Rattus norvegicus: one gene and its partners. The protein of the gene in region 6 binds, or shares a complex with, the protein of the main gene of each other region. Links are inferred from orthologs where the notes say so. Each region holds a gene or a part of one and is shown on either strand. Other genes may lie near its edges. The genes, in order: Taf9, Gtf2b, Taf1d, Taf7, Taf5, Tbp and Taf13.

What was found.
Region 1: Tbp (region 6) and Taf9 share a complex: the UniProt entries of both Homo sapiens proteins name them as parts of the TFIID basal transcription factor complex. The link is inferred for Rattus norvegicus from reciprocal best matches to the Homo sapiens genes TBP and TAF9.
Region 2: Tbp (region 6) and Gtf2b share a complex: the UniProt entries of both Homo sapiens proteins name them as parts of the TFIID-containing RNA polymerase II pre-initiation complex. The link is inferred for Rattus norvegicus from reciprocal best matches to the Homo sapiens genes TBP and GTF2B.
Region 3: Tbp (region 6) and Taf1d share a complex: the UniProt entries of both Homo sapiens proteins name them as parts of the transcription factor SL1/TIF-IB complex. The link is inferred for Rattus norvegicus from reciprocal best matches to the Homo sapiens genes TBP and TAF1D.
Region 4: Tbp (region 6) and Taf7 share a complex: the UniProt entries of both Homo sapiens proteins name them as parts of the TFIID-containing RNA polymerase II pre-initiation complex. The link is inferred for Rattus norvegicus from reciprocal best matches to the Homo sapiens genes TBP and TAF7.
Region 5: Tbp (region 6) and Taf5 share a complex: the UniProt entries of both Homo sapiens proteins name them as parts of the TFIID basal transcription factor complex. The link is inferred for Rattus norvegicus from reciprocal best matches to the Homo sapiens genes TBP and TAF5.
Region 7: Tbp (region 6) and Taf13 share a complex: the UniProt entries of both Homo sapiens proteins name them as parts of the TFIID basal transcription factor complex. The link is inferred for Rattus norvegicus from reciprocal best matches to the Homo sapiens genes TBP and TAF13.

The regions. Positions count from the first base shown.
Region 1 is NC_086020.1:33,527,115-33,531,187, reverse strand, and holds the start of Taf9 (transcription initiation factor TFIID subunit 9), read right to left. Parts: upstream 2,801-4,073; 5' UTR 2,750-2,800; coding exon of another isoform or gene 2,722-2,749; exon of another isoform or gene 2,574-2,721; intron 2,546-2,573; exon of another isoform or gene 1,988-2,545; intron 646-1,987; coding exon of another isoform or gene 553-645; intron 1-552. Other genes in the region: Ak6 (adenylate kinase isoenzyme 6), read right to left, coding at 553-645, 2,722-2,749. UniProt on the Homo sapiens protein: The TFIID basal transcription factor complex plays a major role in the initiation of RNA polymerase II (Pol II)-dependent transcription.
Region 2 is NC_086020.1:234,426,425-234,430,533, reverse strand, and holds the start of Gtf2b (transcription initiation factor IIB), read right to left. Parts: upstream 2,801-4,109; 5' UTR 2,792-2,800; coding exon 2,775-2,791; intron 1-2,774. UniProt on the Homo sapiens protein: General transcription factor that plays a role in transcription initiation by RNA polymerase II (Pol II). Involved in the pre-initiation complex (PIC) formation and Pol II recruitment at promoter DNA.
Region 3 is NC_086026.1:20,426,551-20,430,775, forward strand, and holds the start of Taf1d (TATA box-binding protein-associated factor RNA polymerase I subunit D), read left to right. Parts: upstream 1-1,425; 5' UTR 1,426-1,472; exon of another isoform or gene 1,473-1,860; intron 1,861-2,793; 5' UTR 2,794-2,814; coding exon 2,815-2,885; intron 2,886-3,611; coding exon 3,612-3,990; intron 3,991-4,225. UniProt on the Homo sapiens protein: Component of the transcription factor SL1/TIF-IB complex, which is involved in the assembly of the PIC (preinitiation complex) during RNA polymerase I-dependent transcription.
Region 4 is NC_086036.1:29,710,676-29,714,644, forward strand, and holds Taf7 (transcription initiation factor TFIID subunit 7), read right to left. Parts: upstream 2,650-3,969; 5' UTR 2,415-2,649; intron 2,038-2,414; 5' UTR 1,977-2,037; coding exon 951-1,976; 3' UTR 501-950; downstream 1-500. UniProt on the Homo sapiens protein: The TFIID basal transcription factor complex plays a major role in the initiation of RNA polymerase II (Pol II)-dependent transcription.
Region 5 is NC_086019.1:255,898,435-255,902,573, reverse strand, and holds the start of Taf5 (transcription initiation factor TFIID subunit 5), read right to left. Parts: upstream 2,801-4,139; 5' UTR 2,779-2,800; coding exon 2,226-2,778; intron 1-2,225. UniProt on the Homo sapiens protein: The TFIID basal transcription factor complex plays a major role in the initiation of RNA polymerase II (Pol II)-dependent transcription.
Region 6 is NC_086019.1:65,135,221-65,139,507, reverse strand, and holds the start of Tbp (TATA-box-binding protein), read right to left. Parts: upstream 2,801-4,287; 5' UTR 2,643-2,800; intron 6-2,642; 5' UTR 1-5. UniProt on the Homo sapiens protein: The TFIID basal transcription factor complex plays a major role in the initiation of RNA polymerase II (Pol II)-dependent transcription.
Region 7 is NC_086020.1:198,892,145-198,896,131, reverse strand, and holds the start of Taf13 (transcription initiation factor TFIID subunit 13), read right to left. Parts: upstream 2,801-3,987; 5' UTR 2,758-2,800; coding exon 2,731-2,757; intron 1,589-2,730; coding exon 1,510-1,588; intron 1-1,509. UniProt on the Homo sapiens protein: The TFIID basal transcription factor complex plays a major role in the initiation of RNA polymerase II (Pol II)-dependent transcription.

The DNA of each region.
Region 1 (4,073 bases), on a different chromosome or scaffold from region 6:
AAATTCCTTCTCTGAAATGTGGATATAAAAAGGATGACACAAATAAGTTAAATAATAAAAGATTAGGGGAAAAAAGGGGTAAATAAGTAAAAAATAACACTTTAGACTACATGCAGTGAGTCTGGGCATGCAACTGTCCAAGTGACTTTTAAAAAGTAATATGATAGTCATATCCTATTTGAGTTCACGGTAGTCTATCCTGGAGAGATCAATATAATGTCTCATACATTTAAAATCACCCAAACCTTTGTGTCTGCTGAGCCCACAGCATTTTCCCTCTTCCTCATATTCAGAGCTTATCTATCCAGTCTCCCAACAAAACCGTCACAATTTTTACTATTCTCAATAATGCTAGTTATTTTGGGGTAGGGAAGGGAAAATGTCCAAAATAACTATGTCATACTACTATCTATTATACATGTGATTTTCTTTCTCAGGCCCCTAGCAGAACATAATCACTCATTGCCAGGACCCTCTAGCAACACTTCACAGTCCTAACACTCTACTATACCTGACTTAAAAACAGAAATACAACATCAAAGAGACGCTTACCTTCCCGAGCTAGATCTCCCACATTAACGTACTTCAGGCCTGATCTTGATGCAAGTTCTTTGCCTAGTGTGGTTTTTCCAACCCCTGGTGTACCTGTAAGAGAAGCCACAGAAAAATGCTGTTCAAATCCTACTTACTACATGTCAGCCGTCTTCTGCCCTTACAGTTCTTGGTTCTTTTTTTTTTTTTTTTTTTTTTCCGGAGCTGGGGACCGAACCCAGGGCCTTGCGCTTCCTAGGTAAGCGCTCTACCACTGAGCTAAATCCCCAACCCCTGCCCTTACAGTTCTTAGACGGTATAAAATTTTTCTTAATTAGCAATCATATATGAATATACACCATGAACTAATAAAAATTCCCCAGAAAGCCTGGTATGGTGGTGCACGCCTTTAATCCCAGCACTAAGGGTGGAGGCAGGTGGGTCAATCTCTGTGACTTCAAGACCAGACTAGGCTGGTTTCAGGACAGCCAGGGGCACATAGCAGGACCCTGTCTCAAAACCAAACCAACCAAAAAATTCTCCAGAAATTACTGGGTATTAGTGTCAGGACCCTAATCTCCAGGGATAGGACTCCAAAAATTTTGATGCCAATCCTGCCTGCCAACATATAAAATTCCCAGCATAAAATCAGGCACTTCGGGGGTTGGGGATTTAGCTCAGTGGTAGAGCGCAAGGCCCTGGGTTCCGTCCCCAGCTCCAGAAAAAAAAAAAAGAAAAAAAAATCAGGCACTTGGGATACATTATCATTTGCTGCATTAACAAAAGCTTAAAAACATTCAATGGAAAAAATATAAGAGGTATGAGAAATATCATTACTACTATTTACACTAGTAACTTCCCCAGAGGGAACTACTGTAAACCAGTTTCTTACTCAACTTTCTATGAGTTTGTGTATGTCTACAGGATACTTGGGATGCATTTAAATATGTGTGCACATACACATTGTATATATCCACAGCATAGGTACCCTGTTGTATAAATGGCACTATACATTGTTCTTTGCTTTTCTGCCTTTATAGCTAATACCCTTTTAAGATAATCAAATGCATAATGTTCAAGCTTAAAATTACTTAAGTCAATTTGAACATTATAAGTAAAAATCACGACTCTACATTCTCATCCTATTCAATCTTATGATATGGCTCTCTCTCTTTTTTTTTCCCCATACATAGGGCTGGCCTTTGACATATGCCACCCCAGCTAGTCTATGTAAGTTCTGGGGATCCAACCCAGGGTTTCCTGCCTACTAGTTATAAGTTCTCTATCAACTGATTTCCATCACCAGGGTCCCTCTGTAGCCTTCTGGTTTCAGAATCTTAACCCCCCCAAGACACTGTCTGACCATGCAAATCAGGTATTGTAAAACGTTCCTCCTAAGAAACCTTAAAAGCTAGTGCGTAGAGCTGAGGCAGACAACAACCTTACGATTCATTACCTGACATCTACATCCATCCCATTTTTGTACGACTGGCCTTTGATGCTACTAGATGCTACAACTTAATATTTCTAATTAAAGCTCCGAAACCTTCCCCCGGCCCCCACGATCAGCTCCAGATCACCACAAACGTCCACAAACGCTCAGAAACCCCAACACTAAAACAACAACAAAGCCTGTGGCGCGAACGGAACTAAGAAACAGTTAACTAGTCACTTCTCTCCACAAGCATCCCAAAATCATCTACCGAAACCTCTTGGGAAGCAAACGGGGCATTAAAAAAGAAAAGAAAATGGGTGGCGATCAGGAAGGCCCAAGGGCTGGGGCACCCACCATTACCACATCACCTAACGGCTAAAAACTGCCTCACAGCACCCCGATTTAAAAAAACCCCTAGCCCGACCGCGACAAAGAATCAGCAGCCGGTCCTCCAGGCAAAGATACCAGATTGACAAAGGCTAAGTGTCTCCCGGGGCGGCGGGGCAACGGAGCAGGAGCCGGCAGCCGCTCTCCTTCTCGTCGCCGCGGCGCGTCTGGCTAACCGAACCTCCGCCTCCCCCGCTCCCCCTACCCCCTCCCCCAACGGTCGCGAGCGCCGGGTCCTGACGCGACCACGACACCGCACGCCGCGCGGCCTGAGGAGCCCCGAGGCCGAACACCCAGCGCCCCCCGGGACCTCACAGCACTCGACAAACCCCGGCCCGGCCTGGCCCAGTCCCGCCGCGCGCCCTAACCGGTGAGCAGGATGTTCGGAAGCTTCATAGTACTCCTTCACACGCAGCCAGCGCTTCGGCTCACGCGCTCTCCAGGGAGGAGCCGGAAAGGGCGGGCGGGCGCGTGCGCCCGCGGCTAGGTTCCCTCGAGGCCCTTCGCGGTGCTCACACTCACTTAGGACCCCCTTGGCTCGCACCAATGACTCCCCGGCCTCGGGAGGTACACTTCCACCGAATGGGGGGAAAGCACGGCGCCAAGCCTGGCCTGCGTTTCGGGTCAGGCAGTACGCTGGACGCCTACGTCACTCGCTCGCCTGCCGGCCCCTCCCCTCTGGTGCGTCGCGTAAGCGCCCGCAGTAAGGAAGGTCCCCAGGAGGCGGGCCGCCCTAGAAGCCTGCGGCTGAGCTGGGAGGGCTGGGCGGTTACCCTTCCACACTACAGCCTGGCCTCCTTCACATCTTTCCGCCCGCGAGGGGACGCAGCTCCCAGAAAGTAAGGACGACGACGCTTCCGCTTTTCTTATTAATGTCCTAGAGGCGTGAGACCCGCTTCGTCTTTACGCCTACCTGGGCTGTCCTCCGGACCCGCCCTCCAATATGGACTAGTGTAGGATGTAGGTGAGGAGCCCTGGCCTGAAGCCATGGTGCGATGTGTCAGCTCCGTTCTCTGTTGATTGCACAAACACCTAGGACTGATGTGTCCCTGTCCCCTGCGCAGTGTATGAGGTGGAGGTGGATCGGCTAGGGGTAGTCTTGAAGTTCTCGTTTATCTCCAGCGTAATTCACGAGCCTGGTATTTATCATCAGAGACAGTTGGTTTTTTATCCAAGGTGATGATTGTCAGTCTTGTTTTCAAAGAGCCCCGACCGTTGAGTATCTTTTATTTCGACAAGTATAATTTCTTAAGCAGACGTTTTTGTATCCTTTTAAAACGTCAGGCCCTAATCCTAAATTATAAGGGGAAGAGCATTTGTTATATTAGGTGGGAAAGATTTTAGCGGGTGGGCTTGTGTGTACCTACAACTCTAAAATAGACCAGTGCACTTCCGGTTTATCCGAAGTGACTGATGAGTCTTACTTCATTGTGTTTTTTCCTTTCTCTTAAGTTGTAAATACACTGTACTTTGCAGCGTGATATGAAATAAGAATTTAGGCATAAAAATGCTTATATGGGATTAGTTTTTCTTTATAACAGAAGGTAAGTGCACAAATATGTGGCTTTTCTGTTTCATTCTTTGGAGTTTATATGAAAACCTTTTTACTTATACCATCCCACCACAAATAGACTATCTGATACAATTGTAATCATTTAAAATTTACTTAAAGGTTTTAACATCTTTTTTGAGTCCACATTACATGGTTGATTTTGTATTT
Region 2 (4,109 bases), on a different chromosome or scaffold from region 6:
CTAGCTAGTATGATTCAGAATGTTTTAGCAACTACATTGTTTTTTATTCACTTATTCTTAAGGATTTTTTTGTTTTATGTGTGTTTTCCCTGCATGTGTGTGCTGTACTGTCTTAATGGTTAGTTCCCAGGGATGCCCTGGAATTACAGTTACTGTGTGTGTGCAGGTCTTCTGCAAAAGCAACAAGTGCCCTTCCCCACAGGTATCTATCTCTCCAGCTCCCTAACTACCAACAACCAAGTCATATGGGAAGCTGATTTTTAAAAGAATTCACATGTAAACCACCAGACTTATTTGCTTAATTAAAACATATCCTGGAGTTTTCTAATTGGGAAAATGGGAGAGGGCAGACACTGCTTTATACTTGCAGTTGTTCTGTAAATTTGTTAGAGAAAAAGTAAATTATGGAAAGTATACATAAAAATCAAAAAGCTGCTAAAATAAGGGAAATGTTAGCAGAATAAGAGCAATAAACAAAGCAGGAAGTTAACCTAACAGTATGGTAAGGATTAACATAGTCTGGCACTACCAACAAGGCTATCCAGCCAGCTCTGATGGAACAGAACTAAGGTATTCTATCAACTCGAGGCCACCCTAATACTATATAATATATATACATATATATATATATATATAAAATACTATATATTATACTATACATAGACTAGAGTGAGGCTGCCTCAAAAGGTAAATAGATAAGTAGATAAGTAAATAGCAGGTCAAGGACTGGGAATGGCGCTCACCGATAACTAACTGTACATAAGAGTTGCAGGGCAGCTTACTCTACAGTCTCAAAAACCAAAGTAGGCAAAGAGGCTGGGGATGTAGCTTAGTGGGAGAATGCTCGCCTAGTATATACAAGTCCTGGTTTCAATCCCTAGCATTTAAGAGAGGGAAACATCAAGAACTCTGCAGTGTGTTTAAATGATACTGCCTTGAACATTATTTTAGTATGGCTTTTTGTCTGCATGTTTGTCTGTGAAGCATGAATATGACTTGGTGCCTACAGAGACAGGAGAAGAGATACCCTGGAATTGGAGTTAGAGTTCATGAGCTTGCTATGTGGGTGCTGGAAATTAAACCCAAGTCCTCTGGAAAAGCAGCCACTGTTCTTAACCATGGAGCCCCTCCCCAGCCCCAAATACATTTTGAAGCTCAATCTACACATCCTGAAAGACAGGCACTATTTTCATTTTAGAGATGGTGGTCAAAGTTACTGAAGTCAGAATAAGTAGTAGGCGTCCCTCGGGACATGTCCTCCTGGAAAATGAACACCAGCCAGTGCCAACGACATACCACCCTCAAGGACAAACTCTCAGGCAAAAATCTACCAGTGACTTCTCTCTACTCACACTGGTGGAAAAACATGATAGGAACAATAATGACAGATTGAAAAGCTGGATGAGGTCCAGGCATATCTGCAATCCCCTAGCTTTCAAGGTGGACAGGAAGATTCTAGACCAGTAACTCAAAAACAAAAACTGGCTGTCCAGAAAAAAATAAATTTCAAGGAAATTTTTAAGGGAAGAAAAGTTTAAAAATTGTAACCAGTGATTTTACAATGTATACTATTCAAACACTACCACTTGTGTTTCAAGAATATAGGAGTTCCTTTTCCATACGGAAAGACAAGCAATGCCTACATAGGAACACACTCAGATTCCACGTCAGCCATGGGAAATTTCAACAGTATTTGGGGAAGCTGAAGGTTCCCATGTCCCTACAAGGAAGCCTTACCTGATAAAACCACACCCAGATGGAATGATTAAATCATAATTAATCTAATTAAACCATAATCAGTAAACAAGAGTGTCCATGGCTTCCACACATGAAGTTGAAGCGGCTTCCTATGCCCACCTCCCACTTTTTATAATAAACCGCAGACTTGGAGGTTCCCAGAATGGGCCGAGGTTTTGGTGAATAATGGCTTCCTGTGGTGACGTTTAGCAACTCCACACAGAGTAACCACTTCAGAAAAAAAGTGCCAGTAGTGAAGAACTTAATTTGATACTTTCTGTACATTCTGTGTTAACTGGAGACCAGTGGAATGATAATCACAAATAGGTATACTAGGCACTGGAAAGGTCAACATGCTAGCATGACTCAGTTTACACATATGCCAATATACTAATATGTACCTCATAGTGGTTACAAGAGATATATAATTAGGGTCTGCAAAGCATTTTGCAGGTCACAAGATTAAAGGCCGTCTCTGAGGACACAACACGCATTTCCTGTAGATATTAAGTGCACTGCGTTTTAAAAATACATTTAAAATGACTTCCAGCATATGTAATTAATTTTCTGCAGACAGCATCTCCTTCGGAGTATGCAATGATACTTTTCGGGGTGGGGACGGGGGTGGGATCTTTTAGGAGAATGAATCAAGTCTCCGTATGTGCTTTCATTTCCACTTCTCGGGGGAGCCACTGAGCTGGCGACCCTTTCCACCAGACAACCAATGTTGACGTTTCTCAACTTTGTGGCTGTCAGATCGACAGGGTCCTGGAACGTCGCTTCCCCAGCTTTTGGAAAGGCGGTTTCGGACCCTCAGACCGGATGGGCCATAAGGGAGGAAATACACAGAAAACATTAACATGACACAAAGACGGTTGGAGGGTCCGACCGAGACGGAGGTCGGGGCCGTGCCGATCCGCAGGGACAAGCCCGGGGGGCGATGACTCAGGCGGACAAGGGACGCCCGTGGCGGCCTTCTGGAGGAGCCTCGGCCCCGCGATCCCCATCTCCACTCGCTCGGAGGCCGTTGCACTCACCGGCTGGTCGACGCCATCTTCAAGGCTCCGCCAACAGCTCCGTCCAAAGCAGGAAGCAGCACTGGCTCTTAGACGCCCCGAGCCGGGATTTTATGTGCGAGTCACTCGCGCGCACTCCGCGCAGCTACGGGTCGGGAGGAAGGCCAAAAAGTGTTGGGTGCATGACGACGCGGGCTGTGTACTTCCTGGTTTTCTTTGCTGCGTGGCTCTCGGCTGCTTATTAATAGGCAAAATTTCAAAGCCTGGCGTGATAGCACGCATCATTAATCTCGGGAGGCAGAGGCTGGAGGATCTCTGTGAGTTTAGGGGAAGCCCGGTCTACACTAGGAGCTCCATAACAGCCGGAGGTAGGGTGGGGGAGTGGTGGGAGGAGAGAAAGTTCAAACAAGTCAAACAAAAAGCCAAAGCAAGAAGAGTCTCAGGATGAGCTGCACCAGAGCTAGCTCTCAAACAGACCAGATTAAAATGGGAGTTGCCTCAGATCTCCTGTTGTATTCCTGCAGTAAGAAGGTCGGAGGAGGATCTGGAGTCAGACCACGTTTCAAACAAACACCTTTAAACAAACAACACACAAGGAAACCAGGTTGGTTGAAAGGGACAAAGCCCTCACACCAAACCACTTTTTTATTTTTCAGTCAGTTTTCCCTGTCTGATTGAATCTCTCATTTGCCCTAAGGAATTTGTAATAAAAAGAGAAATTAGCTGTTGTCTTGAGGAACAGGTTATCAATTCAAGCTCTGTCATAGACCAACATGATTCAAAGTTCCTACATGTCCTTTACCTCAATAGTGTAGGGAATAGAGGGTGTCTGCCTCACAAACCCTTCTAGAATTGCAAGAGATCCAAGAGAGCCCAGTGATAGCCATATATATTGTGAGGCAGACAGAGAGTCTGGCCCTGCTATGACCCAGGTTTTTGTCTTTCCCCAATCATCATTGGACATTTGACTGAAAGCTGAGTATAGAAAAACTGATAAAACAGCTAACGACTGTCCTAGGGCCCAGATGCATTAATCAGCTAAACTCGTACCAACCTGGAAATAATAAGGCAGGTCTTGTGGTTCACCCCTGTAATTCTAGCACTTAGGTTGCAGAGGTGGGCAGTCTGGAATCCCAAGCCAGCCTGACCTGCAGAGTGAGACCCTGTCTCAGGTCCCACCCTCTTTCCTTAAGGTAATAACGATACACTCTTGTAAATAAACCCAGTGGACAAAATCTGAATCAAAATAACCACAAGGTGGGCATCTTCCACTGAGACGAAAACTCAGTAAGCATTTTATTTGTTAATGGCCATCAAATGCCATTGTTGAAGTGGGAATTTCTGGTTTGGTTGGAG
Region 3 (4,225 bases), on a different chromosome or scaffold from region 6:
CAGATAGTCAGAGCTGTTCCAGCCAGATGAAGGCAAATATTTACTTTCCAGATTTAAGTGGTGGGAGCAAATGGCTCAGAAACGGGGTAGAGAAAGAGTGAACGAGCAGGAAGGTAAGTGCAGTTCGAGAAACACTGAAGGCCACAGACTAGTCACAGCAACCATGCTGAATGTCACTATAAAGGCCACCCTGTATTCGGAAACTGTCAGGCTCTCTAAGTCTCTCAGAATTCTCAAATCCATGACAGACTTATATTGTATCCTTATTACACAGAAGAGGAAACAACATTTACTCAAGGCGTTCAGTTACTAATTGGCAGAAACAGATTTCAAAAGCAGATTCAAGCCAGGCATGGTGGTGCACAAGTTCAGTTCCAGCACTGGAGGCAGAGGCAGGGGCAGAGGGGTGCAGAGGTAAGAGGTTCTCTGTGAGTTTAAGGCCAGCCTGGCTTATGTATCAGGTTCTTGGACACACAGAAGAGAGACGTGTCAAACAACAGCAGAATGCACTCTATCCCAAGCTGATTCAGCGGTGAAGAAACAGCCCCTCAGCTGACCAAGGGAGAGTTCAGATAGATCCTGCAGCACCTATGATATGAGAACTGACCATGCTTCAGCTTCATTTTCCTCCTACACCGGATGTCTTCTCTCCTCCAAGTATGCCACACACAGTAGGTAGTTTATTAGCTAATTATTAAGTATTTATGATATACCAGGCTTTTATGATATACTAAACTAGCAGGGTTCAAGCACAAAGGCTGGCTCTACAGCTTTGCAAATAGTACAGTCAGCCGCATAGGATCCTATATTCATAAAGATCTAACCACACACACAGGCTTTTGTTTGCTTTTTTGTTTTGTTTTGTTTTTCTCGGTGGTGCCATGCACACTAGGCAAGGTCTCTATAATCCAGTTTTATCTCTAGGCCAACGACTTTACATTAGAAATGCGTTTGTCTGTGAGAACTTATGGGACAGTGAAGTATGAGCATGTACGCCCTCTCATCAGACCTTGTCACCCACTGAATAAGGTGTTTGTAATCTTCCGTTAGAACTTAAGTCCACAGAGTGTCCGTGTTGCAGGATCCTACAGACTGTTGGCAAACTGTACAAGGAACGAAAAGTAGAAGTGAGGCAAGTGAGTACAAAGCTACACTACACAAATACATAGCACAGGCTACCCTTAGTCTGACAGTGAACTCTGCGTGCTCACCACAAGTCGATGCTCACCTGACCCGCAGTGTCTTGGAGGAATGCCTTGCTTGCACTCAGGAGCACAGGTTCACTCTCCTGCTTCTATTTTCTGATAGCTTCAGGCCAAGGGAAGAGCCGGGTACCGCCCCTCCCGGAGGCCCGCCCATCACAGAGTCCGCACGCATAACCACGCCCACGGACGTGCCCTCACGCGAGATTTCATCCTAGTCCTAGTCAGGCTGCTGGGCGCGAGAGCGCTCTTTTCGGCGCGGCGAAAGAGGTAAACGGTTGTTCGTCTGGGGTGCTCCGGTCTACGGCGGCCGACCGGGCGGGGTCGCCGGGACCGCGGGGACCATGGGGGCCGCAGGGCGGGCTCCTTAGGCGGCTGTCCGCCCGGAAACGGCGCTCTCGTAGGCCTAGGAGCAGCGGAGCGGGCCAGGCTCCGGCCTTCCGCAGACCGCGCGAGGCTCGGAGTCGCTGTTGGGAGAGGCCGAGGTGTTCTGGGCCTGGAAGGCGTTTTTAGTGTCTTTAAGCGGTCGTGTGCTGCCTGCCCACATATCTTACGTGCTTAAGTAAGGGTCTTGTCAGCCGGCCCACGGCACAGGTTGGACTCAGCTCACCACGTGGCCTCCAAAGCTTGCAGTCGCGAATTTGAAAGGAGCATTCAGGTAGGAGTGGTTCCTAGATAGGGTTCTACAGTGATTATCTTCGGATCTATCCACAGGTGTATAGTGGGTGCAAAAAGGCCAACCTGAAATTTCAGTTTTGATGGGTTAATTTAAAAAGGCAGTTCATGCAGTGGGTATTTTGCAATCTAAGGACATAATCACCTGTTTTTCTTAGCCTTGAAAACTGTGATTAGTTTAGTTCTAGGATTTGTGTAGCCTAAGTTAACTTTTGAAGTTTTTTTCTCCTTAGCACAAGTGGCCCTCTTACCTACTTCTTACTTTTACACACGTGCATGCAGTGCTCACAGCCCACAAGAGGGATATCGACTCTCTTAGGAATGGTTACAGCTATTTTTAAGCTGCCATGTGGGTGCTGCGAGTCTAATCTTAAGACCATTGAAGAGCTCTTAGTCCATTGGCAGTACTCTTAACTACTAGGCCATCTTTCCAACCCTAATCTAAAGGTTCTTGTACACGCTGTTAGTATCCCAACTACCCGAACTGATGCTTATTTTAGTGTCTAGTGGGCAGCCCAGATTGGAATTAGAAATGCTATATTACTATGTGAGGCTATGTGGTGGTTAAAGCAAAGTGGGCAGATTTTTAGAGAGAAAACAAACTACATTGGAATGTGGTTTGCTTCCACATTCTGTGGAATGTATGCTATGTGTGTGAGTACTCTGGAAGGCAAAGTGCCGTAGCCTCATGGAGCTGGAGTGAACTGCTTACAATCGTAAGCAACCCGTTGTGGGAACTGAAATCTGGAAAAGCAGAGGAGCTCTGCTTAGCTCACTTAAGGGCTTCAAAAGTAGATCTGAAATGTAGGATCCATAGGGATTTTTACAGAAACTGACATAGTGGTAAGGAGTGTGTTGAACTTTCTATTAGAATGCTGTGTATGTGAAGGGGCATCATTGAAATTTGTAATTGCAGAAAACTGGGTAAAGCAAAGTGATGGCTCAATCAGAGGTGGATTCTGTTGACTGTGTGACATCGGATAGAGATGGGGACATTGGAAATCAAAGGTAGGTAAACTATAGATTCAGTCCAAATGTTCAATTTATTTTGAGGAGGGTCTCAATAAATAGAGCCATGGCTGACCTCACCCAGATAATCCTGCCTATCTACCTCCCAAGAGTTGGGATTAAAGGCATGTCACCACACCCTGCAGTCCAGCATATTTGAGTGCTGGGGAGTTTTATTTGTATTGCTTGTCCATAAAACATGGAAAAGCTGAAGATTAACATATTATTAGCTTGACTAATCGTTAAAAAAACTGTCTTGTGGGGCTGGAGAGACGGCTCAGCGGTTAAGAGCACTGACTGCTCTTCCAGAGGTCCTGAGTTCAATTCCCAGCAACCACATGGTGGCTCACAACCATCTGTAATGGGATCTGATGCCCTCTTCTGGTGTGTCTGAAGACAGCTACAGTGTGTTCATATGCATAAAATAAATAAATCTTTTTAAAAAACTGTCTTGTTTTATATAAAATAGTAAGGACACGGTGGTTAACTGGTACTGAGTTCATTCTGAAATGCTGGGTATGATTTTAGGGGATTGTACTTGGAACATGTACTTTTAACATGTTTTTTAGAGTGGATTGCGTGTCTATTCTGGTGCTCTTAGGTGTGGGAGCTGTGAAACTGAAGGGATGCATGATTGTGAGCTGCCTGGGAGAATGGCCTTGCCACTCCTGGGGGATTAATTATATCTAGTGGTAATTCAGTAATGCAATTTAACTTTTGTTTTAGTGATGACTCATCCAATAGCAGCTTATTTAAAACACAGTGTGTTCCTTCACCTACAAGAAAGCAAAGAATCCCTACTGTGAAATGTGTTCCTTCACTTGCAAGTGTTGAAACAGATTCATCAAGTGACTCTTCTCTAGAACCAAGGCCTTTGACTTTAAAGGCTATTTTTGAAAGATTTAAGAAAAAGAAAAGGAAAAAGAGGAAAAAGAGAAAATATAAGCCAAAGTTAAGACGACAAGGAAGACCATCTGGAACGAGGAACATTAGAAGGTCACAAATAGATGCAAAACAAATTAAAGACAAAGGAGCTGTGTTTCCATTCTTAGAATCTGAAAGTGGAAGAAAGACTTTACCTTGGAAGAAAATTTTAACATATGAGGTGAGTGATTTTTTTTTTTAATGTAGGTGAATACATTAAGTAGGATGGAATGGTTTGTTGGTCATTCTTTTTTCTTTTAAAAGATTGATTATATATAAATACACTGTAGCTGTCTTCAGACACCAGAAGGCATAGGATCCCCATTTCAGATGGTTGTGAGCCACCATGTGGTTGCTGGAATTTGAACTCAGGACCTCTGGAAGAGCAGTCAGTGCTCTTAACCACTGAACCGTCT
Region 4 (3,969 bases), on a different chromosome or scaffold from region 6:
AAATGCCTCAGAGAAAAATTCTATGTATGAAATTTTAAAATACCAGACCTGGTAACAGGCTTTCATAGTGGCAAATACTAATGAAATAACATGAACAAACATGCCTATTAAAAAAGCATAGCAATTAAAATGGCAACAGTTAAGAATATAATCTTAATCTAAGCAAGTGGAATAGTTCATCTGATAACTGTTTAACTGCTTCCAGTATTTTATAGATAACTTTAGTGTTTAATAAAAAGATATAGACAGATATCCTTCAATGAAAAGTAGGATAGTTTAAGAAGGCTCTGGACCGAGTGTTCACAAACCTCCAGATGGTGTAGGTAGGCCTGAACCATAATCTATAATGCAAAGATGAATTTCTCCATTTCCTTATCTGGTGTATTCCTTTTCTAAAAAGGCAAAACAACAGCATGTATCTTGATCTATACCACTCAGCCATTAAACTCCATGAGCTCACCTCAACTTTCAGTATTCATTGAAGAACAAGATAAGCAAAGTGAAAATTAGTAACTTTTATTGTGCAAAAAACAACTTTTATGAAAAAACTTGCATTTCTGTAACATGGAAACTTGCTGAGAAGGTAAAAAAATATATTTCTTAAAAAAAAAACAAAAAAAAAAAAAAAAAACACTCCATTGCCTGTAGGCTAGCTAGCTTCTTACTGATCTTAGCACCGAAGAATAGGACTAGAAACTTAGGAAACAAATTGTAATAAAGTCCTATGGTGAAGTGATTAAAAGCTCAGTGTTGTCACTTCACTAACCTTACACTACAACAAATCTGCCTATGTAATCCTATTTTCTTAAGAGTGAAAACAATCAACACAATAACTCCTAGCATTACAGGAAATAAGAATATTTCAAAGAAAAAAGAAGAATTTTTCAAGACCTCACTCTGAAAATAAATTCTTCTTAAGCTGACTAGTCTAAGGACTAAAGTCAACCTTTTCACTTCTCCAGAAGTGATTCCAGCTCTTCTTGCAAAGAGCTAAGCTGCTCCTTTTCCCGGTCTTCCTTCTGTTTGAGCTCATCCAGAACAGCTTGAAACCTGTTCTTCAGAGCCAGGTTTTCTACCTTCATGATGAGATCCTCCTGGCGCTTTGCTCTGTCTTGGGTTTCTTGAAGCTTGCCTTTCATATTATCAATCTGCTTCTGAATCCCCATAACCAACTGATTGGTTCCTTCATTTTCTTGGTGTTGTTCATCTGACTCATTTAGCTTGTCCTGTAGCTGTCTCTCCAGATCCTCTTCAGTGTCAATGATGTTTACATCTTCTTCATCTTCGCTGCTGCTGCTGAGGTCATTGAATATCTCTCGAAGCTCATCATGCTCTAGTGAGTCATGGCCCTGCCTGTGGCCAGACATTCCAGGAGAGGAGATATCAAGGCCTTGATTTTCTGCCTCCTTTGTTTCATCTTCAGCAATTATCTCCCAACGAGTACTGACAGCTTCTGCATCTGTACTCAGCAGCCGCTTTACTTCTTTTTCCACATCTGGAGATTCAATGTACTTCTTCTTTGCTGTCTTCCGGAACCTTCTCTTTCTGACATTTTTTAGAGGTAGAGTAATTCCATGGTTCCAAACAAATTTTTTCTCTTTGTCCTTATCTTTTTTCTTGTTTGCTTTGGGATCAGCAGTAGCAGCTGGCTCCTCCACAGGAGGGTATAGATCACCATCTACTGTGGCTACAAGCATCTGAGAGATATCAGCTGTCTTGTAAAAGGTTTTTTTATCAATGGTTTTCAAGCTCTCCGTAACACACGGCAAATCTACCAATTTTGCAGCCAGGGGCACTCTATCCACTCTGACAATCCCATGACGCCCATCAGGGTGTAACTCAATGCTCAGTCTATCTTTCAGGTTGACGTGCCCAGACTGCACTGCCCTCCTCACAGTAGCGGCATATTCTGGGGGCAACCGTAAGATAAACTGGCTCTCTAGCTCATGAGGTGCATCATCTTTGCTCTTACTCATCTTCACTTCCTTGTGAATTACTTCTCCAATAAACACCTGCTGCACTAACAAGTTCCAGCTCCTACAACAGTTAAAAAAAGGACAAGGTTAAGAATAATCTTAAACTCTTAGTTACTGAGTTCTAAGGAAAACAGCAACTAAGTGGATCATCACCTACTGCCTATTTTGTCTTAATTTATAATTAAGTCCCAATACTAATCTCTAAACATGCATCCCACTTTGGCATTGTCCCTGTTAAACTCACACCTCTACTAGATGCAATACCAAATTAGGGCCTCTAGACGCCGCTGCAGCATCACGTGAACAGCCAAAGAAAACAGCAGCGCCTGAGGGGATTTTAGGCACAGTCCGTCCGTCTGGCAGGCAATCCCAATCCACGGATTCTCTCCAGTAAGAGATTTAAATAAAAGTCGTGAGCTCTTCGGCTCGGGTACTTACAGTTCACCAGCAACTATGAACTCAGCTTTTCTCGGCCTGAGTAAAGCAGCGATGAGCGGTGCGTCTACCTTCCAGTTTGTCCGCGCTTTCAGCCGCCCGGCAAGGCGACCTGAGCGCTAACAACGAAACGGCTCAGGACCCGCAGCGCGAAACCTCGCCACACTGCCGCTCAAACATCCGAACTCCGGAGAGGACCTTGCCAAGCCTCCTCCCACGCAGAAAAGAAGGAAAGAAAGTGCTACGGCAGTGAGCGGAAGCAGACGCGGCGCTACGTCAAAGACCGGAAGTAGACGCGGAGGGGCTGGCTGCCGCTCTTCCGGAAGTAGTAACGTCGCGGCGCGCGCAGGCGCATTCTCGTAATTACGTCGTCTCGTGACTACTTCTCGTGAGAACTTACCTTGTATAGGATTAAAACTAGTGTTTCCGGAAAAACCTTGGCTTGGAATTCAAAGATGAAGATTCCAAAAAGTAAAACATAAGCACACCCCCTAAGACAGCACTTTTATGAAGTCGTGGGTTAAGACAGTTTCTAGAGTGATTGCCAGAGATAAAGGGCGTCCCTGCAGAAAGCATCTTTTCTTCCCAGGGCATACCCGGTCCCTCCGCCAAAAGCTTTGGAAGCATCACAAAGTGAAAGTAAAGTGGCCAAAACAGTGGAATGATACAGTTTTGCTGTCTACCACATAACGCTGTGTATAATCATGTTAATTAGCTTTGAGAGGAACTAAGCCTTTAGCTTCGTTAGTATTTTTGGCTCCAGAGGACGAGGTGTGATATGTATGATACGCTATTTTGGTAATATGTTTGATAGATATAACTGTATACAAATGTTTTTATGATGACACAGGTTCATTAAGAACAGAATTGCCTTGCCTGAAACACAAACGTTCTGATTTTGTTGTTGGGTATCCACCAAAGAAGGCTGCTTGGACATAGTTTTAAGCCAATATAAAGTATTAGCTAGCCAGCGACTACATTGGGTGTTCTGGATCCCAGTGTGGCCCTAAGGCTTTCTCAGGGTGAGCTTTTAAGCACAAACAAATGTTCTACATTGGCATGTTTCTGTTACAAAAACCACTTTCCAGAGACAGAACTACAGAAGCCAAAAAACAAGGTTAGTACATTAGAGACTTTCTCAAAACTATGAAATTTGATAATTAGGTCTGTTTTTGTTTTGCCCATTGGTACTGTCTGTACTGTTAGGGTTCTCTAGAGTCACAGAAATTCTGGAATGTCTGTATACATTAAGGGATTTTAATGTAATGATTTACAGTCTGTAGCCCAACTAACCCAACAATGGGCAGCTGTGAATGGAAAGTTCAAGAATCTAGTTTCTCAGTCCCACGAGGTTAGTTCTTTCACCCAGTCTTCTGTATAAACTGGAATCTTGAAGAAGTGGGTACCAACAGATGTGCTGGCAAGTAAGAAGTAAGTGCAAGCAATTGAAGAAGTGTGAGTCTTCCTTCTTCCAATGTCCTTATATAGGCCTCCTGCAGAAAGTATAGCGCAAATTAAAGGTGTGCAGCACCACTCCTGGATCCAGAACTTGGCTTAT
Region 5 (4,139 bases), about 190 Mb from region 6:
ACATGGAGATCAGAGGACAAATTCAGTAGACAATTCTCTCCTTCCATAATGGAGATTCCGGAGACCGATCTTAGTTTGTCAGGCTCGGTGGCAAATACCTTTACCTGCCAGCTCACAGTCACAAGCCATTTTAATAGCATTCAGGGTGTTTTTGATTAACCAAGCCAGAAGCTCTTCAGTTTGATTGTAGCTTACATGTTTAAATCAATAACAAGAATAGTCAACATTTTTCCTAGAACTGTGTCATAAGGATTGAGAACGTGTTAGGTAGCTAAGACCTGTCTAACATGCACAAGGCCCTGGGCTGAACTACCAAGAGCACCAAATAAATAAACAAATGGATGTGCAAAGCTAACAGCTATGTTAATCTCCTCTCAAGGCTCAGTGCAAATGACACATATCACACTCAAGTACCTTGTACATCCTGTAATATCAATCCTGTGATACCCTCACATTCAAACATCACCTCATATAAAACATCAGCATTTCAAGGAAAAAGGGGAGCATTTGTTATGGCTCTGGAATGTAAAAGACTACAACTCAACTGTGTATATGTGAAGTAATTTCTATAACCAATCATTGCAAGGTAGAAAGCCTGAGTATTTGTTCGTAATACAGCGATACAAAAAAAAATAATGCTTTTTAAAAATCAAATTAGAGTTTGGATGTTGAAAATTTTGGCAAACTACGGTTATAGTATTATATGCTTTTATGTTTTTTAAAAAGTGATTACACACACTCTTTACTGAAAAAATTATAATTAAAGATATAATTTTGTAGTCATTCTCATGGTCTCTTTTTCTCCTTGGTTTCTTGAGTATGATCTAAAAAAAAAGTCAAGTTTCTTGACAGATGAGAGATATTAGAAAAATAATATAAGTTGTTAGAATATAGTCACAAAATTTGGCATACAGAAAAGATCTTCCTTCTCAGTCACATTCTCCACATATTTTTACTTATCCCTCCCTTCCCCCATAACTATATTTAGCTGAGGATAGCTTTGATCTCACAGTAATTCTCCTGCCTCAGCATCCCAAGTGCTGCCATTATACACATGACACATTTCTATTTATCAATCACAGTGCTGTGTGTTCAAGCTTCCTTTCTGGCAATGCTCTCACTGAAACAGGTTAACATGTCTAGAACCACTAACCTGGATAATTTAACTCAATATTTACTGATCTCGTTTGAGAACTTCAACTAAGTATATCTTTGAAAAGTTGAAGTTTGGTGTATAGTAAAGACAACTTTCAGGTAGCTGGGTCTCTTCTTCCACCGTATGGGTTTTGAGGACCCAATCAGGTGGTCAGGCATAGCAGCAGGTGTCTTCCTCTGAAATGTGTGTTTTACTATCTGGATTTGTGACAACTGTTTCTGGGAGAAACAGGAGTTGTCAGTAACTGGATTCAGGAACTAAACTTTCAGTACTAGGCACATTACACATTACATCTTAAACTCATAATAACTTCTTAGTTAAAAAAAAAAAAACTAGAAAAAAATGCCTTTAACTGACATCACACACGGAAAAGCAACAGAGACAAAAAGGTCTGCCACTCCTACCTGTAAAATTAAGAGTTTTCAAAAGCACTCCTTAGAAGCTCTATGGCAGATTCCCAGACTCTCCCCCTACAGTTTAAGCCAGAGGTGATGCTGAGATGTTTGCATCCTCTAAAATACTTAACACCGGTGGTTCTCAGTCCACAATCTAAGAAACACTGACTACCACCACTCTGGATGTGTGGTCCAAAGCAAGCCTTTCGGCTTTGCTCAAAAAGTCCATTTTCTCCTCTCAAAAGGAGAGATGAGAACTATACAATTGTGAGAGAGAAAAAAATCAAGACACAGAAAAGTACTTGCAGTACAATAGTAGTATGGGAACAGAACAGTACGATACTCGTGTTCACGCGAACCTAATCCTAAATCCAAGTAAGAGTAGAAACACCGAAACCTTAAGGTTCCCCTCTTCTGTCAATCCCCGGGCCCGGCACCTCCCTTCCTCCCTCCCTCCGCTCCACATCTCTGCTCAGCCTCTGGCTGGAACTGACAGCTCAGAAGAGGGTTTGACTGCGCAGCCGGCGCAGTAGAGAAAGGGGCGGGCATGTGGCCCTAGAGGCGGGCCCAGGAAATTCAAAACAAGCCCGCAGAGGTGCAGGCCTGCCAGCCCTTGCCTTCCCCGCTAGCTCCCCTTCAAGCCGGCACTGCTCACCCGGTACCCCGAGACTCACCCTTTCCCGGAGCCGCAGGACCTGAGGCTGAACCTGAGAACACTGAGGTCACCGAAGCGCCGGCTCCCGGAGTGTCGGGGGCCGCAGAGCCGGGAACTGAAGCGGTGACCCGGCTGAGAAGCGCACTAGCCGCCTCCGCGCCAGCCCCGTCCAACTCTCCCGGAGCTCCGGAGCCCGCCACCGCCTCCTCCAGCAGCCGGGCCTCACGGCGCAGTGCCTCTTCGGCCTCGCGGAGGTTGCTCTGCCGTAGGAACTGCAGCACAGCCAGAAGAGTCTGTCGGTCGTGAGGAGCGCCGGCCTCCGCGGGAGCGGCGGGCACCGGGGCCGCCCCCGCCGGGGCAGCGGCAGAAACAGCCACCACTGGTTTGGGGGTCCCGCCGTCCCCACCGGCCGCCGCCGCCACATTCCCGCCGCCGCCGTTGGGGCCGTTGTTAGGAGTGCCACCGCTACCCTCGCCTGCGCCGTCGCCAGCCTGCGGAGGTAGCAGCGTTGGCGGTCCCTCAGACTCTAGCTTGACCGCCACCTCCGTCTGCTCCTCCGCCAGCGCCGCCATCTTGCGGCTGAGCCACCTCGCGCCGTCAAGCGTGACTGCGTTTTCGCCACATGGAGGGCGGGGTAGGGCGTTTCACGACAGCTGGAGCAGGCCATTTACGGCAGGAGGAGGAGCTAACGAGGAGAAAAGGAGTGAGAAAGAGCTACTTTCAAAACTGAGTGAAAGGCAGGGAGGCAGGAAGTGGGAGTTGGTTACCGTCTCTTGCATTTGCCTGATAATTATCGTTTATTGCAGGCAGGCTACACTCGGGGATTGAGGTAGCCGTTTTAAATTATACGAGCTCTTTTAATTCAATTTTAGAGGTGCTAATCCCTGGAGTTTTTACGGATGGCTTACCGGAACCCAAAGAGGTTAATACCATGCTAAAATCACACACGAAGAAAAAGATTCACGCCCAAGGCATTTAATCCAAAAGCACATCTGATTTATCAGAGACCTCCTAGTTACCGGTAAGGCTCTCTCTGTAATACTGTGAGCTGAGCCATGGTTACTTTTTTTTCCCGTTTTTATTCCTGTAAAAATACAAGTTTTTGTGAACTTTATATGTTGTAATAAAAAAAAAAAAGCCTTTAAACTGGATGTAGGTTTTTTGGTTTTTTTGTTTTTTGTTTTTTGTTTGTTTGTTTGTTTGTTTGTTTTCCGGAGCTGGGGACCGGACCCAGGGCCTTGCGCTTCCTAGGCAAGCGCTCTACCACTGAGCTAAATCCCCAACCCCCTGGATGTAGTTTTTAAAAATAAATTTAAGTCACAGATAGTCATAGGGTGGCCTCAGCAAGTTCTAGATAATCAGGGCCACACAGGGAGACCTTGTCTCCAACAAGAACAAAATCAACAAAATCAATTATAAATTTGAAGAGAAAAAAGTTAATTTCTTTTCATTCCTTGTTACCAAATGAAACATTTCTGTCTTTAACAATATGTTTTTCCTTTTTAAAGAAAAGATCGTTTTTATGCAGGGTCTTGTGCACCCAGGCTGGCCTCGAACCTGCTGGTAGTTAAGGCAACCTTGAATTTCTGGTCCTCCTGCCTTCACCTTCCAAGTGTAGGGATCCAGCTAAAAAGTTTTTTGCATATAAATTTTTGTGACTGAAATGTCTCTACTGTGGATTAATTACCCATTGTTACCATTTTGTTGTTGTTTGGGGGGCAATACTGATGGTGAACCTCGCCCTACCTCTTGAATACTAGGCAAGTGTTGCGATGCTGATACAATAGCAGCCCTTAATTGAGAGGAGATCAGAAGAGGGCGTCTGACTCAGGGAAGTATGGCCACCTTTGTCCTCTCTATGCAGGTCTCAAAATTCCAGTGTCTAGGTTGTGCTTTAGCTGAGGTTAATGACTTCAAGTACAGTGATTCCCGC
Region 6 (4,287 bases):
TGATGCTGCTTGGAAAAATATGTTTTAAGTTTAATGGACACAGGTTTCATGCTCACACAAAATAAACACATAGAACTGTTTTGGAGTGTGTGTGTAAATGTGTAAATACACACACACACACACACACACACACACACACACACGAATATATGTATCCTTTACTCCCAAAGCCTAGTCTATGTTTCCTGTGACTCATGTAAAACCACCAACAAAACCAAAAACTTATGTGGCTGTGTGCTTAAATATTCTAAATATTCTAATAGTACTGAAAATTAAGGTATCGAGATCAATAGTAAAAATTATTGGAGAACGGGTTGGTAAGAAGTGGTTCAGTAGGTAAAGGCATGTGCTGCCTAGATCCTCAGATCCTAATAATCTGAGTTTAACCAAATGGTGAAAGGAGAGAACAGGCTCTCACAAGCTGATTCCTCACATAAAGGTAATTGATTTTATATGTGTGGGTATTTTGCCTACGTGTATGCCTGTATATCACTTTCATGCCTTGGTGTCTGCAGAGGCCAGAAGAGAGAGTCAGATGCCCTGGAACTGAGCCACCATGGCATCATATTAAAATAAACATGGGTCTTTGGATATACAATTTGTAACTTTGAAACCTGTGTGTTCTTTGTGAACTTAGACAATAAATGTTTAGATTAAGATCAAATTGTAGGGTGTGAGAGATGGCTCCAACCTGGTTCTCTGGAGGAGTAGGCAGTGCTTGTAACCTCTGAGCCATCTCTTTTAAGAACCAGCATCAGGGACCAGCCCTTTGTACCACCTTCACCCTCATGCCCCACCCCCAGCAAAGGCCTCGGCAAACTAAAGGCCGAGGGAAAACTAATTCGTAAGCAAACTGTACTGTAAGAAAAGAACACTTACTAGGCACTGTTTGTACAGCTCTATTAAGTCAATTCTGGTTTTATACCATTCCCAATACCTCAAGCTTAAAGTATCATATTGAACTGGACACAATATGCTTTAGGTAATCATTTTTTGTGTGTTCTAATTTTAATTAAAGGCAGACTAAACAACAGATGAAACATTAGCTCATTAGATCACATTAATTCAAACCACGCCTGGAACTGAGTTTCTTAAATCATCAGCTCTTTAGTGGTCATGGATGTGAAATATGAATATGGATTAGGAGACTATGAAATGTGCTCTCTTTTCCTTTGTAAAGGCAGTAGTGATAGAATCCAGAGCCTCCTAAATGGCAGGCAAACGCCCATCCTCAATTCCTTAAAGATACTTTATTTTTAAAAATCAGCTCAGTTCATATAGACCAATGGCTTGCTCAGAGATGCCATAAGAAGTGAACGAATCAACATTCCAGATACAAAGATAAAGAGGATACGGTCCTTATCAAACAGTTCGGTATAAAACAATACGGAGACAACTATAAATACTTAGCAAACACTAAAACTGCAGGCGTTTACGAAGTAAGGCAAGCTATTGGAAAGCTGAAACCAACATTAGTGTCTTCAAGACACCTGCACCTACCTATGACTGGTCTCGGCATTTGTGACCGTGAATGAATGTTATGGAAGAGTACAGATTAGAGTCAAGAGGTGGCAGAATGTTCTGCAGTCAAGAGCACTGCTGCTCTTCAGAAGGACTAGTTTTGATTCCTAGTACCCACATAGCTACTTACAACTAGCTATAAATCCAGTCCCAGGGAATCCAAAGCTCTCTTTTGTCTTCTATGGGCCCGGGCATGCACGTGATACACATAAAGACATATAAGCAAAACAGTCATATATGTAAATCTTTTAAAAGTTAAGACGGAATTGAAGTACCCTTTCCAGAGGTCTGAGCTCTCACAAAGCAGGGACAATCTAACACAGGTCTAGCAAGAGGAACAAAACCACACAAATCAGCACTATCGCAGTACAAGTCACAGACATGAAAGGGGGACAAAGCCTTGCATGTAGTATGTGACAGGCTTAGAATGTAAAGTCACTACAAAAGATGACAAAGCAGCTAGCTGTAGATAGGGTTGCATAATTCAGGGTATAAGATGTCACTACACAGACAATGGGAACAGTTAAAGGATGTTAAGGTGCAGTTTGAATATCTTCTTGGTCCAAGAGCGGATAAATCTGAGAAAACTGAAGACTGAAAATTCAATTTCAGAGATCACTGTTTTGGTTGGGGAAAAAAAAAAAGGCTGGATTTAATGTCCAAAGTATAACCAGAGATTTATCCAGATCACTTTCTGCAAACAAAGTTTACTGAACGCTCGCTTATATAAGACTGGGGAATGTGTAGTATCCTTCGCTGAGGTCATCTCACACCTGCAGACGATATTAAACTACCTTTTCTCATCTGCATCTTAAAACCGCAATAATCGCTGCACAAACTTATTTTTAGGTTGTTTTCAACTTTTGGAAACTGAGCCATCAAACTGAATATTTGGGAAACCAATTCTGCAGTCTTCAAGCGTCTGCTTCACCCAGTCCGGCATCTTTTCCCAGAAAAGCCTACCCGGAGTTTTGGAAAACCACGTTAACTCGAACCTAAAGACTGACAGCGTGTAAATAAAGAAGCGTGCGTTTTTATGTTAAGCTCGACTGAGCTTGAATCTCGAGCTTCTGACGAGATGCTCCGTCTCAAGAACCGCTTCCTAATAGAATTATTCTTACTGGGGACAAAACGAGCAGCCGCAGGCCTGGGTAAAACTGTCTTCCACCGGGGGAAGCAGCTGAGATGTACGGTGCGCCGAGCTGTCCGGTGCCAGCCCCTTGGAGAGGCTCACACTTGGCACTGGATTTCATGACCCCGCCGAGGCGGTGGTCCAGAGACTGGTACTCCCGGAGCCGCCGCAGCCCGCGCGGAGGACCGTTCCCCGCCCGGCCGCGCGCCCATTCCGCGTCTCCTCCGGCAAACTCCAGGGACCCGCTGCAGAAGTCGCTTTTGTTAAGGCCTCCAAGCAGAGAAAAGGATGAAAGAACCGTTACCTGGGCACTGCGGAGAAAATGACGCGACCGCAGAAACCTAGCCAAACCGCCAGCAGATACCCGCCACCGCTACCGGACTCGACCCCACCGAACGCCTGACGCACATCTGATGCCGTCACTTCCGCCAGTTGCGCTCTCGACTGGAGCCCGGCTTGTTGTGCTTAAACTGTGAGACACTCGTGAAAGAAAGGGGTTGGGTTGGTGTCCCAGCATTTTCGGGACCAGGCCTCTGACCGCCCTTTCTAGCTGTCAAAGAGAGATGTAGAGTGTGTAGCGGGAACAGTATTGGGGATGTGGCTATGGGGATCAGGCTCAAGCAAGCGTTCTACCACTGAACTGTATACATCCTCGATCTTCCACGTGTTGTTTTTGTTTTTTTGAGAGTTTCTCCTTGTCGCTCTGGCTGTCTTGGGACTCACTCTTGTAGAACAGGCTGGTCTTGAACTCAAGAGATCGCTTGGCAAGCTCACTGGGTCCTCCACTTTGCTCTGTAGAGTTGAATGATAGTAGTAGTTGCCTCTTAGAGATTTGTGAGATGGATAACGTGAATGGCAAGCAGACGCTTCTTATTATGTTCTCAGTAAATGTCAACTTGCGTCCAAAGAGGAACAGCAAAACAAGCGGCTTTGTAGTCACAGACTCATTTCTATTTTAACTCTGCTACTACCAGCTCTCGTCCTTGCTGTCACAAGAAAACGTCAGCTGTTTCTTAGACTGGTTCTTAATGCTTGATTTGATTCCAACATACCTTAATTTTTTCCTTCCATGGTTCACCTAGGCATATACATGTGTTGTTGTGCTTACTCCCCCCCCCCCCGGTGTGTGTGTGTGTGTGTGTGTGTGTGTGTGTGTGTGATAGAGAGAAAGAGAAAGAGAGAGAGAGAGAGAGAGAGAGAGAGAGAGAGAGAGAGAGAGAAGAGAATCTGTGTGTTGTGTATAGCTGTTGAATAGGTTGCCATATGCATAGACTCTAATAAGTACAATAGTATTGTGTATCTATTTTCTCCTAAAGGAAACATTTTCTCTTGGAAGTACAGGAAACCACAGAAGACTGGGGAATTAAGAAAACTTAACAAAGGCCTGACAAGAGACAATTTATGGGAAGCAGATTTATTTTGGCTTAGTGCTTGAGGGGCTACAATCCAGGGGAGAGCATGACACCTGGACTGCATCCACAAATCGGAAGCATAAATTAGATAAATATTAGTTCGCTTCTTTATTTAGTCCGGAAATCCAGGCAATGAGGTGGTACTGCTTATATTTTGGTTGGGTCTTTCCTCTTCTATTAAACCTTCTTGAAACACCCGCATAGACATGCCCATGGGTTTTA
Region 7 (3,987 bases), on a different chromosome or scaffold from region 6:
CCTAAGGAGTATGATGGAAGGTTAACGACACTGTTAGTACCCCAGACTTCACTTTCTTGCCCTGATCAGTGCCTTAGTCCAAAGCCTCAACTTACATCGTTTGAAAGGTGGACACAAGAGGAATATAACATCATAGTCATCCCCAGCTACGTAATAAATACAAGACCAATCTAGGGTACATGAGACCCTGCTAAACACAGAAAGGGAAAAACAACAACAAAAACAAAGCAAACAAAAAAACAGAAAGGGGGAGGGGCAGCGGTGCAATGAATGTAGCTCAGTTAGTAGCTGAGTGCTAGCCTAACACACACAACTAGGGTCAATCCTTAGCTAAACAAACTGGGAATCATGACATATGGGCCTATGTGTAGCACGAGGGATACAGACAGGAGAAGTTCAAGGTCATACTCATCTACATACCAAGGTTGAAACCATACTGGGATATAAAAACCCTGCCTCAGCTGGGTGGCTGTGGTTCACAGTGTCAATCCCAGCACTTAGGAGGCAGAGGCAGAGGTGGAGGCATATGTATCTCTCTGTGAGTTCAAAACTAGCCTGATCTGCAGAATGAGCTCTAAGACAGCCAGAGCTACACAGAAAAACCCTGTCTCAAAAACCTCAAAGAGGGCTGGAGAGATGGCTGAGTGGTTAAGAGCACTGACTGCTCTTCCAGGAATCCTGAGTTCAATTTCCAGCAACCACATGGCAGCTCACAACCATCTGTAATGAGATCTGGTGCCCTCTTCTGGTGTGTCTGAAGACAGTTACAGTGTAATTATAATCAATCAATCAATCTTAAAAAAAAACTAAAAGAGGGGTTGGGGATTTAGCTCAGTGGTAGAGCGCTTGCCTACCAAGCGCAAGGCCCTGGGTTCGGTCCCCAGCTCCGAAAAAAAAAAAAAGAAAAGGAAAAAAAAAAAACTAAAAGAAATAAAATAAAAAAAACCCACCTCAAAGTGTATGTGTGGGTGGGGGGGAATCACATTCATTATTTTACGTCACAAAGAGAGAATTAGTATACATGATAAAGAGACTTATACCAACCACAGGAGGCACACCGGCAATCCCAATACTTGAGAGGCTAAGGCAGGAGGACTACCGCCACCCAAAGCTAGCTTGGGCTAAACAGTGAGCACCAATATAGCCAAGCCTATGCAGAGCCTATCTTTAAAAAAAAAGAAAGCAAAAACAAGGGGAGCTAGAAAGATGGCTCAGCAGTTAAGAGCACTAACTGCTCTTCCAGAGGTCCTGAGTTCAATTCCCAGCAACCACATGGTGGCTCACAGCCATCTGTAATGGAATTGATGCCCTCTTCTGGTACTCATATACATAAAATAATTTTTTTTTAAAAAAAAAGCAAAAACAAACAGGAATAAAAACAACCTTACAGGCAAGTCTGAGAACACTGTCCCTCTAAGCAAACATATGCAGAGCAATGTACCTACTCTCCAAGGACATGTTTAAAAGCTCTCACCACCTGTAATAAAAGCATTGGAAAGTACAACTTACGTTCTTTAGAGAAAAGTCTCTTTCTCTTCCCCTGGCCACCTTCTGCTCCTCCTCCAATTTCTTCATTTTCCTCCTCAAACTAGAAATTTAAAAATACAGAAATGTCAAATGATGGCAGTGCACGTGATATTCTCCAGAGTCTCCTCCTGCTCTCTCTTTTGAGTGCTATGAATTGAACCTAGGAGCTCACGATTCTAAACAGTTAATTGACCACTGAGCTACACTCCAGTGCCCTTTTCATCTTTTTTTGAAAGACATTTATTATTTATATGTATTGTGTGTGCCTACATTGACTATGCCTGCAAATGCCCGTAGAGGCCAAAAAAGGGGTCTAACTGCTGTAGGTAGCCAGATGCACTAAAGCAAAATCTCTAGACTTTTTTTTTTTTTTTTTTTTTGAGACAAGGTATGTGCCCGTCTGCCTGGAACTCAGAGATCCTTTTCTGAGTGCTGGGATTCAAAGTGTGCACCACCATGCCCAGTGACCCTTTTGCATTTTCAAAAGTGGTAAGCTAAGGCAAACAGCACAAAGTCATAGAAACTTAGCATCAGAGGGCTCTTATGTCCTATTCCACTTCTCAAGTCGTGCAAGAAGTCTTTTATTACGGCTCCTAACTAACAACCCTACCCGGGGTGTGTGTGTGTGTGAAGTTCAAATGGACGTCAGGTTCTGGGTTTGGTTTTAGCCCATTTAGTTGTCATACTGCTAAGCAATGCTACTACTGTAAAAGACCTGATAGTTTAAAATCTACTCTCTGCTGCCATCAGAAGCAACATTTACTAAGCACCTGTCAATACAGGGCTAAAAACTTTCCTTAACTGGGCTTGACCCTATCTCACGACAAGAAAACCGATGCCTTAAGTTAAATAACTCCAAAGGAGAATCTGGATCTCAAACTTCCTGACTTTAGTTCATCTTTTCTCCACTATTTTCACTAGTTTTGTTAGCAGATGGGCTGCTGGTTCCGCAGTATTTGCTTTGATCTCCTATGACTCTCTAGACTCTCAGTGTCAGGAAGATCCAGATCAAAAGGAGATCCTGTCTACTTTTCCTTCCCTTCCTGCCCCACGCACTGACTAAGGTAAACCGAAGGAAGAGGAAAACACCGCGGAGACCCCGAACTCTCGGCGGGATTCCCTAAGGCTCAGGAGGGTCAGACTCTGCCTCCGCTAGTGAGCCAGAGGGAGTGAGGAAACAGGCTGTGACGGGCGCTCACTCACGGTGGGATCTTCCTCCTCATCTGCCATGCTAGCAGCCCGCCAGCCTTCTGAGCCCGCCCAAGGGCGGCTCGCAAGATTTATAAGATATGTGCGTCACTTCCGGCCTGGCCGGAGTTGCGCAGATGGGTGTGCACTCTCATTCTCCTAACCCCGGCCTTGAGATTGGCTGAAAATCAGTGACGCGTACTTAGGCGTGGAATCCTGAAGAAGGGATTAAAAATTACAAAGATGCCAGGCGTGGTGTACTATACCGAAAAAATTCCGTGCACTTGGCCGAGGCAAGAGAGCTTAGAGTTCGAGACCACTCAAGCTTCATGAGCCCATATCTCAGAAATCATAAATGATAAATTTGTGCATACTAATGGAGACTCCCAAATGCCTGTAATTCCAGCTCCAGGGGAATATGATGAATTTTTGCCTCTGGGGCTGATGCATTCAAGTACACAAGCCCACATAGATATACTTTTTAAAAATATATATATAATCTTTATGTATATGAGTGTTTTGCAGACACGCATGTGTACCATGTGTTCGCAGCGCCAAAGAGGCCAGAAGAGAGCAACTAATTCCCTGAAACTAGAGTTAGATGATTGTGAACCGCTATGTAGGGGCTGGGAATCAAACTCAAGTCTTTGGAAAAGCAGCCAATGCTCTTAGCTGCAGAGCAATCTTTCCTGCCTCCGTAATTTTGTGTGTGTGTGTGTGTGTGTGTGTGTGTGTGTGTGTGTGTGTGTGTGTGTACATTGGGTTTTATGAGGGGGGTGGGTTTGGGTTTGGTTTTTTAATTACAAAAGATGTGCGGGAGAGATGGTACAGTCAGTGAAAGCTCTCACGGAATAAGACTAATATTCAGGTTTAATCCCTGGGCCTATATAAAAAGTGAAAGGTAAGAAGACAGATTCCACAAGGCTGTCCTCTGGCTTCCATACACAGTAATAAGTAAAACATTTTAAAATTATCAAAGAGCTAAGTGTGATGGCACACGTCTTTAATCCCTGCCTGGGGAGGCAGAGGCTGGAAAATCTCTGAGTTCAAGGTCAGCAACAAACAAAACAGCAGAGACATTAAATGCATTAGAAAGCTGGCAGCACAGAAAAGGTAGAAATAGGGCATAAAGGAAAAAATAAAAAGCAAAGGACTATGGACAATGCTAGCAGGGCTATAAACTATGAAGTGTGGATAAATTCAACCCTCTTAACTCAAACTCCAAAACAGAAACCGGGAATAACAAAGCAATGTAATGAGTAGATCAGACAC